Drosophila melanogaster: one gene and its partners. The protein of the gene in region 1 interacts with the protein of each later gene in a pairwise test. Each region holds a gene or a part of one and is shown in the gene's direction. Other genes may lie near its edges. The genes, in order: Ir60a, Acph-1, CG2641 and alphaTry.

Evidence for each region.
Region 2: the proteins of Ir60a (region 1) and Acph-1 interact in a two-hybrid assay, tested with the Drosophila melanogaster proteins (one large-scale study listed by BioGRID).
Region 3: the proteins of Ir60a (region 1) and CG2641 interact in a two-hybrid assay, tested with the Drosophila melanogaster proteins (one large-scale study listed by BioGRID).
Region 4: the proteins of Ir60a (region 1) and alphaTry interact in a two-hybrid assay, tested with the Drosophila melanogaster proteins (one large-scale study listed by BioGRID).

What each region holds. Positions count from the first base shown.
Region 1 is NT_033778.4:24,248,484-24,253,376, reverse strand, and holds Ir60a (ionotropic receptor 60a), read left to right. Parts: upstream 1-2,073; coding exon 2,074-2,988; intron 2,989-3,086; coding exon 3,087-4,322; downstream 4,323-4,893. Other genes in the region: nord, read right to left, coding at 1-256, 323-572, 646-731.
Region 2 is NT_033777.3:29,990,443-29,994,900, reverse strand, and holds Acph-1 (acid phosphatase 1), read left to right. Parts: upstream 1-1,624; 5' UTR 1,625-1,705; coding exon 1,706-1,915; intron 1,916-1,973; coding exon 1,974-2,072; intron 2,073-2,128; coding exon 2,129-2,818; intron 2,819-2,888; coding exon 2,889-3,147; intron 3,148-3,207; coding exon 3,208-3,317; 3' UTR 3,318-3,757; downstream 3,758-4,458. Other genes in the region: CG7903 (uncharacterized protein), read left to right, coding at 1-108, 162-753, 813-1,028, 1,088-1,139; CG7896 (uncharacterized protein), read right to left, coding at 4,363-4,458.
Region 3 is NT_033777.3:7,792,150-7,797,107, forward strand, and holds CG2641 (uncharacterized protein), read left to right. Parts: upstream 1-1,919; 5' UTR 1,920-2,059; coding exon 2,060-2,171; intron 2,172-2,720; coding exon 2,721-3,070; intron 3,071-3,443; coding exon 3,444-3,999; intron 4,000-4,098; coding exon 4,099-4,370; 3' UTR 4,371-4,450; downstream 4,451-4,958. Other genes in the region: CG10086 (uncharacterized protein), read left to right, coding at 1-571, 730-974.
Region 4 is NT_033778.4:11,343,634-11,347,091, reverse strand, and holds alphaTry (alphaTrypsin), read left to right. Parts: upstream 1-1,972; 5' UTR 1,973-1,999; coding exon 2,000-2,770; 3' UTR 2,771-2,832; downstream 2,833-3,458. Other genes in the region: betaTry (betaTrypsin), read right to left, coding at 1-750; epsilonTry (epsilonTrypsin), read left to right, coding at 1,045-1,815.

The sequences.
Region 1 (4,893 bases):
TCGCAGCAGCTGTTGGCGCCTCTTCCCCGTGCACACGATGTGAACGTTCTGCCTAGGATTAAGTCTCCTTTCCCGCTGGGGTGGAGCACCCCAAATCCCTTCCAAGGGACCGCCTGCGGCGCAACTGGGAGTCATGGGCTGCTGGTCCGTGTAGGCGGACACCGCCTGGCAGAAGTTGGTGAAGATCATCCGCGGCGTGTCCATGGAGAGTCTCTGAATCACCAGGCAATAGTGCATGACATGGAAATCAAACTTGCTGAAACGATTTTGAATAATCATAAGTTATAAGTATATCCGTGTAATAAAATCATCTAGATCTCACCTCCTTTCCCACTTGACGATCATCTCGCGCTTCCGCACGCGATTCTGGGTGCGAATGGCGATTCGGTGCGTGGCGTTGAGGAGGGGCCAGTCGTGCTGGGGATGCTCTGCCAGGGCGTCCACCTTGAGGGCTCCCGAGTGGCGGGCGAGGACGAAGAGGTCGTACTGGCCACGCAGGGCGCAGGGCAGCACCAGACTGCCCACAGCCACACCTGGCCCAGGTGCCACTGCCGCCGGCCGAAGGGGGTTTCCTGCAGAGGCGGTTGGGTGGCGGGTTAGTGGCGGTTGGTGGCGGTATGCGGCTCCTCAAAGGGGCGGACTTACCTGTCTGATTGTAGTACATCTTGCGGCCCACGGGCGCCGAAAAGCGAATCGTCAGCGGCGTCGAGTCGTTCAGGTTCAGCACAAATCTGGAAGACGGAGAACGAGATGAAGGCGGCTCTTCGAGGGGCGGAGTAAGTGAGCTGTTAACGCCCTTTGTCAAAAATGATGACACTAAATTATCACACGCAATTTGTTTTGCCGCCTGTCTGAGCCGAACTGAACCAAATGAGTCAGCGGCTTTTGGCCATACCCTCCCTGACTAAAGGATCAGCTTGGTTAGATAAGTCGTAACTTATAACTTATAACTTAACTTAACAATAACTAACTAACTAACTAATGAAATAACAATGGTGTCAAAAAGAATCTCATTTTGTATCTCTCACTGCATACTTTTAAATCACCTTTGGTATACAAGTTGGCTTAATTACGGGGCATCCGAAAGGGTATACCCTCTTCGGCTATCCTTGTCCTTTCGCCAACTTTGTTTATCCATCTTCGCTGATGCCGCTGCAACTTTGTTGCAGCCAAAGATTGCGCTCAAGTCCCCTGGGCACTGGCCCTTTGCTGAATTTGCTGGCTCTTGTATTGTAATTAAATGCGAAATTTACGAGCAATTTTTCTAATGACAAACTGCTAAGACAAATGAGCTCGCCGATACACCCACATGGACACAGGGAAACAGGGAGCTTCGAGCTGGCAAGGATGCAGTTTCCAAAGGGGCAGGACAGGATGGCCATTCCATTGCAGCAAATGACTCATTGACTTGGCGAGATGGTCGGCCATCTCGAGTTTTATTTTTATGACCGGCTACTTCCGGCCAACGCCATGGGCCATCCTCCTCGTCATCATCCCCCGCAATCCGGACGAGCGAACAGAAGTTGGTGCGCCACATAGCCATATAGCCATTATACCATGCAGTCCGTCGTATTTTTGGCCGCCCTGCCAAAAGGTTCGGATTGATGGAGTGTTTTAATGCATTTCGACCATTGTTGGCGGTGGCGCCGCTGCGACTGAGCAAATATTTGCTTTAATTTAAGCCTTGCATGTTGCAATGGCGATTGTTTGTTGTTTTCTGCTGTTGTTATTATTGTTGCTGGGGGCATCCTCGTTGTCGGCACGCTGACAGCAGTCAATTATACAAGGCAAACAACGGCCAAAGGCGAAAGTTGAATGCGCTTCCGGACGCGAAACTCCAGAATGACTTAATGCACTTTTACAAGCCAGCAGTGGTTGTTTAATGGACGGATTATCATATTACAGCGATTTGCGATGGATCAGTCAGAGGCACTGTGTAGTGTTAATACTGTTCCAGACCCCAAACCGATATACCCAAGCAATCAAATGTAGGACATCAGTCACATCACCTTCCCACGGAAACTCACACCAGCCGCAGTTAATTCGCAATTGTCCGACGTGACAGAAGCAATAATGTGGTGTAATAATCCGGGTCTCATCATCATCATCTTTCTGGGGCAGATTTTAAACCTGTGCCAGGGGATAGTGAATCTTTCGAATGAGACGGCCAACACGGTCATCTTCATGCTGCCCGAAAAGGACTTGGGTCCCGATGTGTGGAAGGCTGGAGTGGGCTGCCTCGATAGCTTCGCCCAAATCTTCTTCTTTCGCAACCCGAAGGAGCGCTTCACCAGAGCCTATAACTTGATGCTGGTGCACGCCTTTCATCTGTCCAGTCCGGCGGATCAGATCCAGGAAGGATTCAGCAAACTGATCAACGAAGCAGTCACGAATCCAGGGCCGCCGGACAGGGAGGAACTCTTCCAAATGCGCGTGGCCAGTGATTACAACATCACGAATGGGACCGAAGACAAGGGAGAGCTGATCCTAGCGGACAATTATGTGATAGTGGTGGACTCGGTGGATCGATTAAAAGAGCTAATGAAGAAAAAAATTGTCGAAATGCGATCCTGGAATCCAGGAGCGCGTTTTCTGGTGCTCTTTCATAATGCGACTTGTCGGAATCGACCGCTTGGCGTAGCCTCCAATATTTTCAAGGACCTCATGGAAATGTTTTACGTGCACCGAGTTGCTCTTCTCTATGCCAACTCCACCATGAACTACAATCTGCTGGTCAATGATTACTACAGCAATGTAAACTGCAGGATTCTGAATGTCCAGAGCGTGGGCCAGTGCCACGATGGCAAACTTTACCCCAATAATGCTGTCGTTAAGGCCTCCATGCAGGACTACGTATCAGGATTCAGTCCCAGGAACTGCACCTTTTTTGCCTGTTCCTCCATCTCTGCTCCCTTTGTGGAGGCCGACTGTATCCTGGGACTAGAGATGAGGATCCTGGGGTTCATGAAAAATCGACTGAAATTCGATGTGAGTATTTAACACTTTCATACTTCAAGATCGTCTTGGCTTGCAAAAGTCCTGCTTATTGTGCTAAGCTAACAACTATCCTATTTTCCACTGGTAAGGTAAACCAAACCTGCAGCCTGGAGTCACGTGGTGAAATGGATGGCCCAGCTAACTGGACTGGATTACTGGGGAAAGTCCAGAACAACGAGTGCGACTTTGTCTTCGGCGGCTATTATCCGGACAACGAGGTGGCGGACCATTTTTGGGGATCCGATACCTATCTGCAGGATGCGCACACGTGGTACATAAAAATGGCCGACAGAAGACCCGCCTGGCAGGCGTTGGTGGGTATTTTCGAAGCCTACACCTGGATTGGATTCATCCTGATTCTAATAATCAGCTGGCTGTTCTGGTTCACCCTGGTTATGATTCTTCCGGAGCCGAAGTATTACCAACAGTTGAGTCTTACGGCCATTAATGCCCTGGCCGTCACCATATCGATAGCCGTCCAGGAACGACCCATTTGCGAGACGACGAGGCTGTTCTTCATGGCCCTGACTTTGTATGGCCTGAACGTGGTGGCTACATACACGTCCAAGATGATAGCCACCTTCCAGGATCCCGGCTACCTTCACCAGCTGGACGAGCTGACGGAAGTGGTGGCCGCGGGTATTCCGTTTGGCGGCCACGAGGAGAGTCGCGACTGGTTCGAGAATGACGACGACATGTGGATCTTTAACGGATACAACATTTCGCCGGAGTTCATTCCGCAATCGAAGAACCTGGAGGCGGTGAAGTGGGGCCAGCGGTGCATCCTGAGCAACCGGATGTACACGATGCAGAGTCCCCTGGCGGACGTCATATACGCCTTTCCCAACAACGTTTTCAGCAGTCCGGTGCAGATGATCATGAAGGCGGGATTCCCCTTTCTCTTCGAGATGAACAGCATCATCCGCCTCATGCGCGACGTGGGCATTTTTCAGAAGATCGACGCGGACTTTAGGTACAACAACACGTACCTCAACAGGATCAACAAGATGCGCCCCCAGTTCCCGGAAACGGCTATCGTCCTGACCACGGAGCACCTGAAGGGACCCTTCTTCATCCTGGTGGTGGGCAGCTGCTGGGCCGCCCTCACGTTCATTGGCGAGCTAATAATCCACAGATGGCGAACCCAGCTGGTCAGCACGAGCGAGCAGCAGGACAGGAGGAGTGACAAGAGGAGGAGGAGGAGGAGGAGGAGGAAGCCAGAAAAGGATAACCGCTGGCAGCGACAAGTTCAAGTGGCTCCAGTCGTTCGATTTACGCCAGTCAAACGACGCAAAGTTTTCCAGGGACAAACAAGTCAAAAGTAAACTAACCCAAACTAACTCCCTAGATGGCTGCGATAAAATTGACTCAATTCACATAAATTTGCAATTGAGAGACACTGACTCTGACTCTGACTGGCAATCCCCAAGCCCGTCCCCCCGTCCTTCATCCCCCATCCTCCATCCTCCTGCGATGTCTGGGGCGCTTGTCTGGTCTATAGTCTATATAGTATGGCATAGTGTAGTATAGTATAGTGTGGTTGGTCTGGCCCGTGCCGTTCGGGTCGCTTCTGTTACTTTTCACGCGAAATACTTAAAATCAGAGACAAAATTCTATTTTTGCAAACAACAACGGCGGGGAGTCTGTGCCCGTGCCTCTGGGATTGGCATTGGGATTGGGATCGGGAATGGAAGTGGAGGCGGGCAGGGCAGTGCGCAGTGGACGAGCTCCTCGCCCCGCTTTCCGCAAATTGACAATCAGCCTCAGCTTTCCCAGCTGCTCTGCTGCCGGAAAACTCTGGGCGTAAACAGAGATAAAGAACGAGTTAAGCAGATATCCCTATAAGTGGCGCATTCGCTGATTGCAAAGGAAGTTACTGCAGGGCAGCCAAACAAA
Region 2 (4,458 bases), on another chromosome or scaffold:
AGGGCCAGCCCATTGTGGTGGAGGCGGGCAGGCCAAAGTACGGCCCGGGAGGTGGCAGTCGAGGTCAGCCGGGCTCTGGGGACAATCCGGGGCGCAGGCCCTCGCAGGGTAAGCTTTGATCACTCCAAAGATCCAGCATCTAAGTATTTCATCATCCTCAGTTCAAGGTGGCGGGGCGGACAAGAGACCTCATGAATCCAATACCAACTTCAAGCGCAACTTTCGTGAGGAAGTCGGTGGCAGATTCTCCAACGAAGGCCCAAGGAGCTCGAACTCCTCGGCCGCCAAATTTGGTCCCGTGAGAAACGAGTCCAACTACAGACAACAGCGCAGTGCTCCATACTCGAAAGGACCACCGAACAATGAGTCTTCCAATCAGGGACAGGGCTTTAGGAACAAATTTGCAGGCGGAGGCAAGTTCGGTGGAAGCGCGGGCAACGAGGGACGCTTCGGCAGCAATCGGTTTCAGCAGCGGGACAACAGTGGACCACAGCCTGGCAGAAGAAACTTTAAGAACAGTCCAACCAGCGGATATAGGGGAGGAGGCAATAATAGTGACTTTCAGGGAGGCAGCTCCAGCAGCGGGGGAGGAGGATCCGTAAATCAGAGGGCCGGCGGCGGCGGCCCAGGTCCAAGCCATGTGCGACAGGATCGACGTGGATTTGCCCTGCCTGTAGAGCATCAGCAGCAGCAAATGGGCTTCGGACGCTTTGGCAATGGACCAATGAACTCTGGCAATCGTGGGACTAATGGGTAAGTTGTGCATAAGATTGGGTTCTAAATTATATATAATATCTTGTTTTGCCATATAGAGGAAATCCACCGGGAGGACGTGGATTTTTCAATGGAGGAGGAGGCGGATTCAATGACAGACGCGATAGCAGTCACGAGACAAGCAGTCCCCAAGGAGGCCCAAGCAAACGCGGAGGTTCAGGAGGTAGAAATCACAATCAGAATGGCATAAATGCATATCACTCGGAGTTCCCGCCCTTGGGCAGTGGCGGCGGAGGTCCAGGCCAAAGAAACCGGTAGGTTCATTCATATCGTCTGCATAAAAACCACTAACCCCAATCATCGCCATTTCCAGCTTCAACGGGCCCAGACCCGGGCCAAATATGGGCGGCAATAGAAGATTTTAAGCAAGTGCAATGCAGCAACGATGTTTGCCAGTCCACGTGTACTCCACTTAATAATGTAATAGCCGAATTTTGTTTTTCATTGTTCCGCGCGCAGAATCTTTTAGTTAAGCCAACGACGACGACTTTTAATTTGTCCTATAGCCGTGTACTTTTAAGACCAACATCAACAGTATATTTGTTATTCGTAGTCTAAGATTGTTTCGATATTTATGCAATACTTAAATAATCATATTTCTTGTGTGCAACTAGATACGACGAGTCAATCAATCAATACAATCATAAACACCATTTGCGTTTTTAAATCATCCCGCCAAAAGATTACTGTTAGGGTCTAGGGTTGGTTGGGGACAACTATCGTTATCGAGACTTCGAAGCTTTGTGTGGTTATCAAACAGGTCCCCAAAATTATAAACAAAGAAATCAGAAATTTGGTAAACTTCAGACTGCCTGCTGTATATATGCGAACGACGAACGAACAGATCGCCAGTTATACGGTCGAGGTAAGGGAACTAATACCCGTTATAGCCGTAGACCAAACGCCGTAACCTGTATTCGCATGCTCACATATGTTTTCCCGCAGTCGCTGTGGTTCACTTGTAACAAGTGTGGCTCGCAAAATGTGGAACCACCCAAGCCAGCGCTGGCTCATCTTGATCTGCGTTATATGTTTGCTGTCTTTTGCGCTGGCCAATTCGCTTCATGGCTATGCTAATGCTGAAGGTCATCCAGTGGAGATTTCGGCCACATTGCCAGGCCAGCTGAAGTTTGTGCATGTCGTAAGAGTTGCTATGTCTATGTGTGCGTAGCTCCCGCTTTATCGGTTATGCTTTGCAGATATATCGCCACGGCGACAGAACGCCCGTGGATCCCTATCCCACGGACCCCTGGGGCGACAGGAAGTTCTGGCCCACCGGCTGGGGAGATTTGACCAATGTAAGTAAGGCTCGCACTAGTGACGGACCCAGGCTAACACGGATTTCGACCTTTAGTTGGGCAAGCAAGAGCACTACGACCTGGGAAAATGGCTGCGGAATCGCTATTCAAACCTCCTACCGCCTATATACTCCAACGAGAACATCTACGTTCAGTCCACCGACGTGGATCGCACATTGATGAGTGCCCAGTCGAATCTGGCTGGTCTCTACGAGCCGCAAGGGGAAGACATCTGGAACACGGACATCAACTGGCAACCCATACCCATTCACACCTCGCCCGAGAGGGAGGATCCCATACTGGCCGCTAAGGCACCTTGTCCTGCCTATGACTATGAGCTGGCCAGCCTGGAATCATCGCCAGAATTCAAGGCCTTGACCGAAAAACACCGAAATCTGTTTGCTTATTTGAGCGAAAAAGGCGGACGCCCCGTGAAGACCTTCATTGATGCCCAGTATTTGAATAACACCTTGTTCATTGAGAATCTGTACAACATGACACTGCCAAAATGGACTAAAATGGTTTATGGGAGAGAGGAGCTCACGTATGTATCGAATTTCGCTTTCGCCATCAGCTCTTATACGCGAAAGCTGGCGAGACTGAAGGCGGGGCCTTTGCTAAAGGACATATTCCAGCGGTTTAAAGAGAAATCCTCCGGGAGCCTAAAACCAGATCGTTCGATGTGGGTCTACAGTGCTCATGACACCACGGTAGCCAGCGTTTTGAATGCGCTGAAATTATTTGAGGTAGGAGTTTGACAAAGTTTTCATATGAGCAGCGGATTGAGGCTTTGTTCTTTTTTTTTTTTATCCCCAGCTGCACAGTCCTCCCTACACGGCGTGCATAATGATGGAGTTGCGTGTGGATGAGACCAACACCCCGTTGGTCTCTATTTTCTACAAGAACACCACAGCTGAACCCCTGCCTCTGGACATACCTGGTTGTGGGCCTTCCTGTCCGCTGACCAAACTTATGAACATCTACGAGGACGTTTTGCCCGTAGATTGGGAGCGCGAGTGCAAGCTATCCACGATGATGATGACTTATGAGGAAGCCAATCTTGGAACTGCGACGGGTAAGTCAACGGCAATTGGTTTTCAATGGAATTAAATCATCGAGTTTCATCCATCCCCAGGCATTCTCATTTTAATCGTAATTGCGCTGCTGTTCGCCAGCTATGGCCTCATGATCTACTACCGACGTCGCAACTACAAGCTGTATTCCTCGTACTCTCAAATGGCTTAGGAGGCTTACCCATGCCATGCAGTTGAAGGCCCTACTTAAATCTGAATTAAGAGCCTTGCCCGCTCTCTAGTTGCCAAAGTGATTTGCCTTTCTTGGTGTTTTCTATATTGATTTTGGAAGTCATTGGAGTCTCAGGCGACAGTTGTTGTTATTCGTGGTTACTACTTAGTTAAGCCGTGCATTTCACACAAAGTCAGTTTGTATTGATTAGTTTTGTTAGTTTAAGTTTGTGCATTTGAAATTGAAAAACACAAGCTCGATAGCATTTAAATGGAGTAATAACTGGTTTTGTTGTTATTCAGTGAAAGATATGGAATACAAAGACTGTGAATAGCGATCTTGAAGTTGCATACATATTATACATAACATATTTATACACATATACATTTTTATGAAATTATCATGAATGATAAATTTATTGTATTAAAATCGCTCAAATCAAAGACTTGTATGATGTTTGAATTTTTCTGGTGCCTAGTAAAGATAAAGGGCTTGTTGTCCAAAGATATTTTTGGAGAAACTCTTAACAAAATCGGCAAAACTTTATGGTTTAGTCAATTTAAATCAAGATAAAGTAATGAATTGCTTTTCTGTGTACGTTTGATAAAGATCCCGGAAGAAACAACAACATAGAACGAATGTTTTTGGGCTAGGAAGTTAAAGAGCTTAAACAATTGTTGTTTACAAGGTACACTTTGTGGGTTAGTTGGTAGTCTATAGCTTGTGGCAGGCATACCTAAAAGACGGCTGAGTAAATAAGTTGGAGTTTTCCCGCCCGCCGTCAAAAACACTTGAAATATGAATTATACTAGATTTGTTTATTCCGCATAAGCGACTTGGTTGCACTTAATTATGGTTAGACATAGATACAGTTAGGGTTACGGTTAGAATGCTTTAAGGCTATATACAACGTGGCTGAGAGCGGCGATATAATGTAGAACCTGTTTGCGGCGATGCGCCTGACTGACTGACTAAGATTGAAATGGACAGAATGGAGGAGTGGGAAAGATGAAGAGCCCCTCGATCGGCCGGCTGGCTGGCCGGCTTATCTGTAGGCCTTGTCATCCGAGTATATGATGTAGGGCTGGTGCTGGTGCGGATGCTGGTGCGTCAGGCTCTCGGCTCCATCGCCGTTTCCGCC
Region 3 (4,958 bases), on another chromosome or scaffold:
TTCATGTTGATCCACGCCCATGTGCGTAATGACTCCAGCTCCGATTGTCGGAAGCTACTGATCATGCTGCATTTGAGAGCCACATACACGGCGGATACGCCCTCGCTACGCACCACATCCGAGAAGATAATGCTGGTGAAGCGCGAGTGCGGTCCGGTGGCTCATAATGCGCAGAGGACTTACACGGAAACCCTGAGGATTCCGGCAACGGCGCCCACCTGCGAGCACCTAAGCAAGGTGGTGCGCGTATCTTACGAAGTGCGTGTGGTGGCTGTTATGAACTGGCTTATGGCTAATCCCCGGCTCATAATCCCTGTGACTATTGGCAACGTGCCCCTGGCAACTGCGGTGTCCGGACCGGACTTCCTGCCAACTAACGCCTTCCCATCTGGAAGTTCGCTGCCTGCCGACTTGCCATGCACCTCTACAAGGGCCATGGAACTGGCTCAGATGGCCGCAAGCGGGGTCAGCAACTCCGGCTACGAGATGGCCGAGGATCTAGAGGACTTCGAGCTTCCAGAGGATGGAGATGATGAGTTGGAGGCCGCCGACGATTTCGTACCAGATTTACGTGAGTACAAGAGAACAAAATATTTCTAGCTAGGACTTTGTTATGAAAGATGTTAAATAGAGCCCTTATGTATATGTTCTTTATATTTTTGTTATGCTATTGTGAGGCGATAGTTTCATTCTTCATTCTCCATATTTTTTATGTCATTTTTTCTATAGCTCCTCCTACCTACGAGCAGGCCATGTTCATGACCACTGATATTGCGGACACGGACGCGAACACGGTCAGCGAGGCCTCCCGATTTACTCCACGCTATCCGGTCTTCGATGTGGACACCTTCCAGAGCCCGCCGCCAAATCCTCCCCAGAAGAAAAGGCGCCGCCGACGCAGACGTCCTGCCGATCCTGGACAGTCGAAGCAACAACCGGAGAAACAACCAGTGGAGTCACCCGTGCAGATCTGAGGGCAGTTATCGCGAAAAATCACGACTATATCTTATCTCGGCAGTATTTATTTCTTTTACGGTTCGCCAGTGTACTTACCAAAATGTTTACTATATATGTATGTATATCGGAATGATAAACAACCCAGAATATAAAAGTGTCTACTGGGTGATACGCGATAAATTGCGACTATAGCCTAGACAACCAAGTCCATGAAGGCATTGAACTACAAATTTATTTATTCATTTATAAATTAAATTGAGTGGAGGACTTCTAGCTCAGTCCGTGAGTTTAAATACTTATGAGAGCTAGAAATTTTGATTTACGCATACATGCTCCCAATTTCTAATTCTATTGCTTGACAATTTCCATTAAAATGCAAAAAAAAAATGTATAACTTCCTCTCTATCTGAGTAACAGGTATCTGATCCGGCCCATTCCGAATTATATAGAATATATAGCATAGAAACGGACATGCATTTATCGCCTTAATACTGATCAAACATTCTCTCGACTGTCAAGATACCCTTTGGTTGCTACGCACCACGATAGAAAATCAGGAACTTCTTGGACTTTTGCGCGTTTGTAAATGAGTACAAATCATCATTAACAAACGTAATCAACTATCACAGACTTAAGTCCATAGACGACTTAACTTGATGTGATTCTTTTTCACCGTATTTCGTCCAAAAAATAATAACAACGCGATAATAACAACTCAACTAAACTAGAGCTTTCACAGAACCCACCTGATTTTTGTTTACAAATTTTTAGATTTGTTGTTGCCTTATTCTTCGTAACAAAACAAACAAAAAAGAGAACCGTTTATCAAAATCCGATGCCTCTCAATTTTGTTTTTTTTTTTTAGTGAGCGGAAGCCCCAAAAGCTCGCTCACCAGAAAAGCTTTGGCTCTCGCCAAGTGATGATGTCACTGACATCCCAGCTGTTGCAGACCGGCTATTCTCATTCTAAATTCTCACTTCGGGTGCGACGCTTGTCTGGTGCTAAATAAATTCACGTTGCGCGTCGCCAGTGAATAAGATCTGGAATTTCGAAATATATGTGCCAGCACCCACATACTAAATAATAGATTGCATTTCCAAAATGCCTTCCAGCTGCTCTTTTGAGCTCGATCGCCGCGAACCCATTTACTACAGTGGTGAGACGGTCAATGGAAGGGCCATTCTGACAACAACATCCGAAAAGTCTGTGAACGGTGAGTTTTAGTCGTTAAAAAGCGAATGGACTGATATGTTTTTAATTTGAGCGTAATCACTGTTGACTCTGTGATAACACCAAGCCGGTTTTATAGAATGCAGCAAACAAACAAGTTTGTTGTAGCGCCATAAAGTGTTTTGCTTCTTATATAAGAAGGATTTTAGCGACCATTTATGTGGCTTTAATTGTCTCAAATGTTTAATTCCTAGTATCCTAAATTGCATGCCCTGATGAGCTCAGTTCGCCCCTAACTACAAATTCATTGATCAATTTTTGCGTTTTTCAAATAGCCAATTCTAAAAACAAACTTGAAAGCTTTACAAAAGATAACAAAAGTATGTATACAAGCAAACAAGTATTTGATACAGTGCTCTGTATCAATTTCCATGTTCAGTTCCATTTTTGATTGGCGTAATCTCATTCTGCACTTACAGCAACTCCTTCGGAGTCCGAAGAAGGCTTTCACATACGTTCAACATATAAAGATTCGTTTTCGGATACAAACCATATTCAAATATCACTCTCTCTCTTTTCACTTTCTGATTAGAGGTATACATTCTTTTCGAGGGCGAGGCAAAGGTGCGATGGGATGAGCGGCGAACAAGGACGAGAGGTGGAAAGACCGAGCACTACACGGAGTATTTCCGAGGCAAGCAGCAGTACTTGTACACCCGGACATCGGTCTTTGGATCCGGGAATCTGCCGCCAGGTACGCACACCTACAACTTCTGCATTCCACTGCCCCTGGAATGCCCCTCATCAGTGGTGGCCCAGTACGGAAAAATCTTCTACGAGGTCTCCGTGGTCATCGATCGCCAGTGGCGCTTCAACAACGTCTTCAAGCAGCCACTGACGGTCATACAGACCTACAACCTCAACATGAGCCCCCAATTGCTGGTGAGTCCAAGGACAGGAACAGTTTACTAAAAGTTTAGATTGCACTAATCGGTAGTAAATCAATGCAGTTTTAAATTGTCCTGCGACAGATATTTAAGGACAATTAGACGAGTCATTCAAGTATAGAAACATTGCGTGCCTTATGGACGTAAATTCCGAAGTTATTAAACAAACAAGGGGTGTGTTCATTCAAACCAAAGCTATGGGACTAAATAAAAAATTTAAATAAATTAAAAATAAATTTTTTACGATCCTAACCTGTAGAAATGTAAACAAAAAAATGTTAATTAAACTTTAAAATTATATCAATAAGAGTAATTAGGTAATATTAGTTATTCCTAGGAACTAATAAATGCACACTCTTTTTCGACAGATGCCCCTAGTCCGAGAGGACATCAAGCACTTTTGCTGTTGGCCCTGCAGTTCAGGCCCGGTTCTATCGACATTAACAATACCCTTCGGTGGTTACGCGCCTGGTCAGAAGATACGCTTTACTCTGGAGATTGACAACCAGTCGAGTGGCTATGATCTGAATGGGATCGAACTGAAACTTAAGCAGATTTACAAATTCCAGGCTCAAACGCCGCACCACAAAACTCGCGAAAAGGAGCACAGCCTCAACAAAAGTTGCCAGCAGGAGCGCGTTTTGAGGCTCTCAAAGAAAAAAATTGAAGGAACCCTGGCTATTCCAGCAGTACCGCCCTCTTCCCGCACCGAAGGCATCATTTCGGTTAGTTACCAAGTTATCCTCACGATCAGCACTGGCGACTGCCACGTGGACTCGGACTTTGAGGTGCCGATTGTAATTGGCACCATACCATTGATCCAAAGTGCCGAGAATCCAGCCAGTGCAGCACAGTGGATACCGGAAACGCCGGACACTCCTGCCGGAGCCGCCGCAGATCTGCCTCCCAGTTATGACAAGTGCAGTAAGTATATAGCGAAATCATAGATACTCTTCATTTGAATTTGTAAATGCTTAAAGGTGCTTGATCATTGTATAATTCTTATACTATTCATGTTTTTAGAGCCACCAACCTTCGAGGAGGCCACAAACTTTGGTGAAAGGTTCATCGACATCGATCAGGATGAGCACAATCGCACGGATGACTTTATTCCGCGTTACCCCATGTACACCAACTTTGCCATGCCATCGGCTCCACCTCAACCCCCTGAAGAGTTCGCTACCAATCAACCAGTACCCGTTCTGTCACTACCTCATGATCCCACTGCCCCATTGGTCGGTCAAAACAATACTGACCGTCCAACACAATCGTACGGTTGGAACACTAACTCATAAAAAAAAGAAGACATAATCTCATAAAATGATTTTACTTTGATTTAGCTTTGGATGTTACCAATAAACATAGTTTAACCGTTTATCGTGAAACTAAATCTTAGGAATATATATAAGTTATCCAACCAAATTTTCTAGTTTAGAAAGTCATCAATGAACAAAATTTCCTTGAAAATATATTTTAAATTCGAAATTCTTAGCGTAACACTCGCACTTATGTGACGAATTATCCAACTCTATCTGTAGGTTCAACTACAATATATTTGTTGGGCAATGGGCAATAAATCAGATTCTATGCAAATCCTTTCTAATTAAGTCAACAATATCGAATCACATCGCTAATATTCTCGATTCCACATAGAACACACTTATCAATACTTATCACTTACTTATCAATACCCACACATCAATATTTCTTTTATTAAATATAAACAAAATTTCAAAATTGGTACTTGAAAGTGAATGCGTTAAAAGATCGTTCTAGGTATATGATATTGATTCTTAAAATAAATCATTCCCTTGATTTAAAATTGCCACCAGTAAAAGTATCAGTTACCACTTGTGATAATGGAATAATATATATTTGTGTAA
Region 4 (3,458 bases), about 13 Mb from region 1:
GATCACCCAGGAGCGGAGGGCAGCAACATCGGCATAGACACCGGGGTAGTTAGCGGCAGCACATCCGTATCCCCAGGAGACAACACCGACGAGGACTCCGCCGGAGACCAGTGGGCCACCGGAGTCACCCTGGCACGAGTCCTTGCCGCTGGCAAAAGCGCAGATCATGGAGCTCTTGATCTGGTTTCCGTAGCCATAGGAGGAAGAAGAGCACCGGCTCTGGCTGACGATGTTCACGTTGACATAACGCAGCTGGGAGGGAATGGAGCTGGAGCCAGAGGACTCGGTACCCCATCCGGAGACGGAGGCAGCAGCACCGTTGGCGGGGTTGGAGCTAGCCAGACCGATGGCCTTGATGGTGGAGCTGAAGCTCAGAGAGGAGCTCAGATGGAGCACAGCGATGTCGTTGACCATGGTGTTGGCGTTGTAACCCTCGTGGTTCTTGAAAGAGGAAACCTTGGCGACGACGCCACCAGAGCTCCAGTAGCTGGATCCGGCGCGGATCTGCAGGGAGGAGGCGGACACGGACTGCAGGCAGTGAGCGGCGGTCACGATCACCCTGGCGGAGTAGATGGATCCACCGCAGGAGTGGCTGCCACTGCGCTGCAGGGAGATCTGCCAGGGGAAGCTGCTGATGGTGGTAGCAGTACCGCCGACAATGCGGCCATCCAACTGGGGCAGGAGACCCTCGGGGATGGTGCCTCCCAGGGCGCAGGCTACAGCCGACAACAGGATCAGGAACTTCAGCATGGTGCGATTGAATGGATACTCTTCGAACCGAAAAGTGTGCTTATATCGGGGGTCACTATCTCGGGAGGCGTTTAATCAATGGACAAGTGAGATTCCTCGTGGTTAAAGTGGATAACGATGTGGAGTGGTCGTCGTGTGATAAGCTGATTATTTCTAAATATCACCGCCTATATCGATGGTGAAAATGACGCAACAATTATGCTGAAGTTGCAGCTGTCAATCAAGTGGAGATATTTGCCGCGGGGACTGTATAAAAGGGGTTTTGATCCGCGAATCAGCATACAAACGATTAAAATGTTGAAATTCGCGGTACTTCTTTCCGTTTTGGCCTGCGCCTTGGCTGGCACCATTCCCGATGGCCTGCTGCCCCAGTTGGATGGTCGTATCGTCGGTGGTTATGAGACCAGCATCGACGCCCATCCCTACCAGGTGTCCTTGCAGCGCTATGGATCACACTTCTGCGGTGGATCCATCTACTCCCACGACATTGTGATCACCGCCGCTCACTGCCTGCAGTCGATTGAGGCCAAGGACCTGAAGATTCGTGTGGGCAGCACCTACTGGCGCTCCGGCGGCAGTGTCCACTCCGTTCGCTCCTTCCGCAACCACGAGGGCTACAACTCCCGCACCATGGTCAACGACATTGCTATTATTCGCATCGAGTCCGATCTGAGCTTCCGCTCCAGCATTCGCGAGATCCGTATTGCCGACTCCAACCCTCGTGAGGGCGCCACCGCCGTGGTTTCCGGCTGGGGCACCACCGAGTCCGGTGGCAGCACCATTCCCGATCATCTGCTGGCCGTTGATCTGGAGATCATCGATGTGTCGCGTTGCCGCTCGGATGAGTTCGGATACGGAAAGAAGATCAAGGACACCATGCTCTGCGCCTACGCCCCACACAAGGATGCCTGCCAGGGTGACTCCGGTGGCCCACTTGTCTCCGGAGACCGCCTTGTCGGTGTTGTGTCCTGGGGCTATGGATGCGGTGATGTGAGGTATCCCGGTGTCTACGCCGACGTTGCCCACTTCCACGAGTGGATCGAGAGGACCGCCGAGGAGGTGTAAAGCCAGACAAACACTTGAAATAAATCGCAATTGAATCAGCATTGATATCTGTTTCTCTATTTGGGCCCAATTGCGTCGCAGGTGTAAAGCCCTCGAAATTGCGGCTAGATAAGAATTGTAGCGTGGGCTGTATATAAGGTTGGACGGGCGGCATGTAAGCCAGCACTTGTTAGCAACGCCCATCATGTTGAAGATCGTGATCCTCTTGTCCGCCGTGGTCTGCGCCCTGGGAGGCACCGTCCCTGAGGGACTCCTGCCTCAGTTGGATGGCCGCATTGTCGGCGGCTCTGCTACCACCATCAGCAGCTTCCCCTGGCAGATCTCCCTGCAGCGCAGTGGCAGCCACTCCTGCGGTGGATCCATCTACTCTGCCAACATCATTGTGACCGCCGCTCACTGTCTGCAGTCCGTGTCCGCTTCAGTCCTGCAGGTCCGTGCTGGATCCACCTACTGGAGCTCTGGTGGCGTCGTCGCCAAGGTTTCCTCTTTCAAGAACCACGAGGGATACAACGCTAACACCATGGTCAACGACATCGCTGTCATCCGTCTGAGCTCTTCCCTGAGCTTCAGCTCAAGCATCAAGGCTATTAGCCTGGCCACTTACAACCCAGCTAACGGAGCCTCTGCCGCCGTTTCCGGTTGGGGTACCCAGTCGTCCGGATCCAGCTCCATCCCCTCCCAGCTGCAGTACGTGAACGTGAACATCGTTAGCCAGAGCCAGTGTGCTTCCTCCACCTACGGATACGGTAGCCAGATCCGCAACACCATGATCTGCGCTGCTGCCAGCGGCAAGGATGCCTGCCAGGGTGACTCCGGTGGCCCACTGGTCTCCGGCGGAGTCCTCGTCGGTGTTGTCTCCTGGGGATACGGATGCGCTTACTCCAACTACCCCGGTGTCTATGCCGATGTTGCTGTCCTCCGCTCTTGGGTGGTGAGCACTGCTAACAGCATCTAAGCTGGTACCCAGTAGGTTGGATGTGTCAAAAGCCTTCAATAAATATTTGCCATTCAGAACATAGATGATTTGTATTTGGTCTGGGTACTTTAACATAAGAGGGTTTACAAAATATACAGAAAGCTTTTGTATTTACTTCTATGTAGTTTAAGTTAGTGGTTAAGCCTAAAGAATAAAGTAGTGGAAGTTGAATGTATTACACATACCACTTATTACACCTTTCGTATTAACAATAGGGAAACAGTTCTCGAGGTTGCCCGCGTCACAGGTCTTATCTTTTGTAGGGTTCACGGGTATTCACATAAAGTAAGATAATTCAACGCACCTTCTGTGATTTTCACCGATTTCAATGGGCTCGAGTGGCTAAAGGTAAACATTTGTCCAGGACCAATCTAATCAACTTCGAGTGCATCGCGTGGCTAGGGTTCCAATTCATCTTCCATTGATAAGTTGAGTGATGGTCTGGACAGCTGTGGCAAGATTAATTAGCCGGAAAAAAATGAATAGATAAGATTGCACAGATTTGGACACTCGAAGTTGAACGTTTTGGTGAACCGTGACTGGTGAAATACTGGACGGTGTGAATAGATGGTAGGAATGGATTGTCTTCTGTTCTTTTTCTTATATTTGTGAATTAAACGCAACAACAATTGCAAAGAATAAACAATTTGCCATATTTTTTAACCGA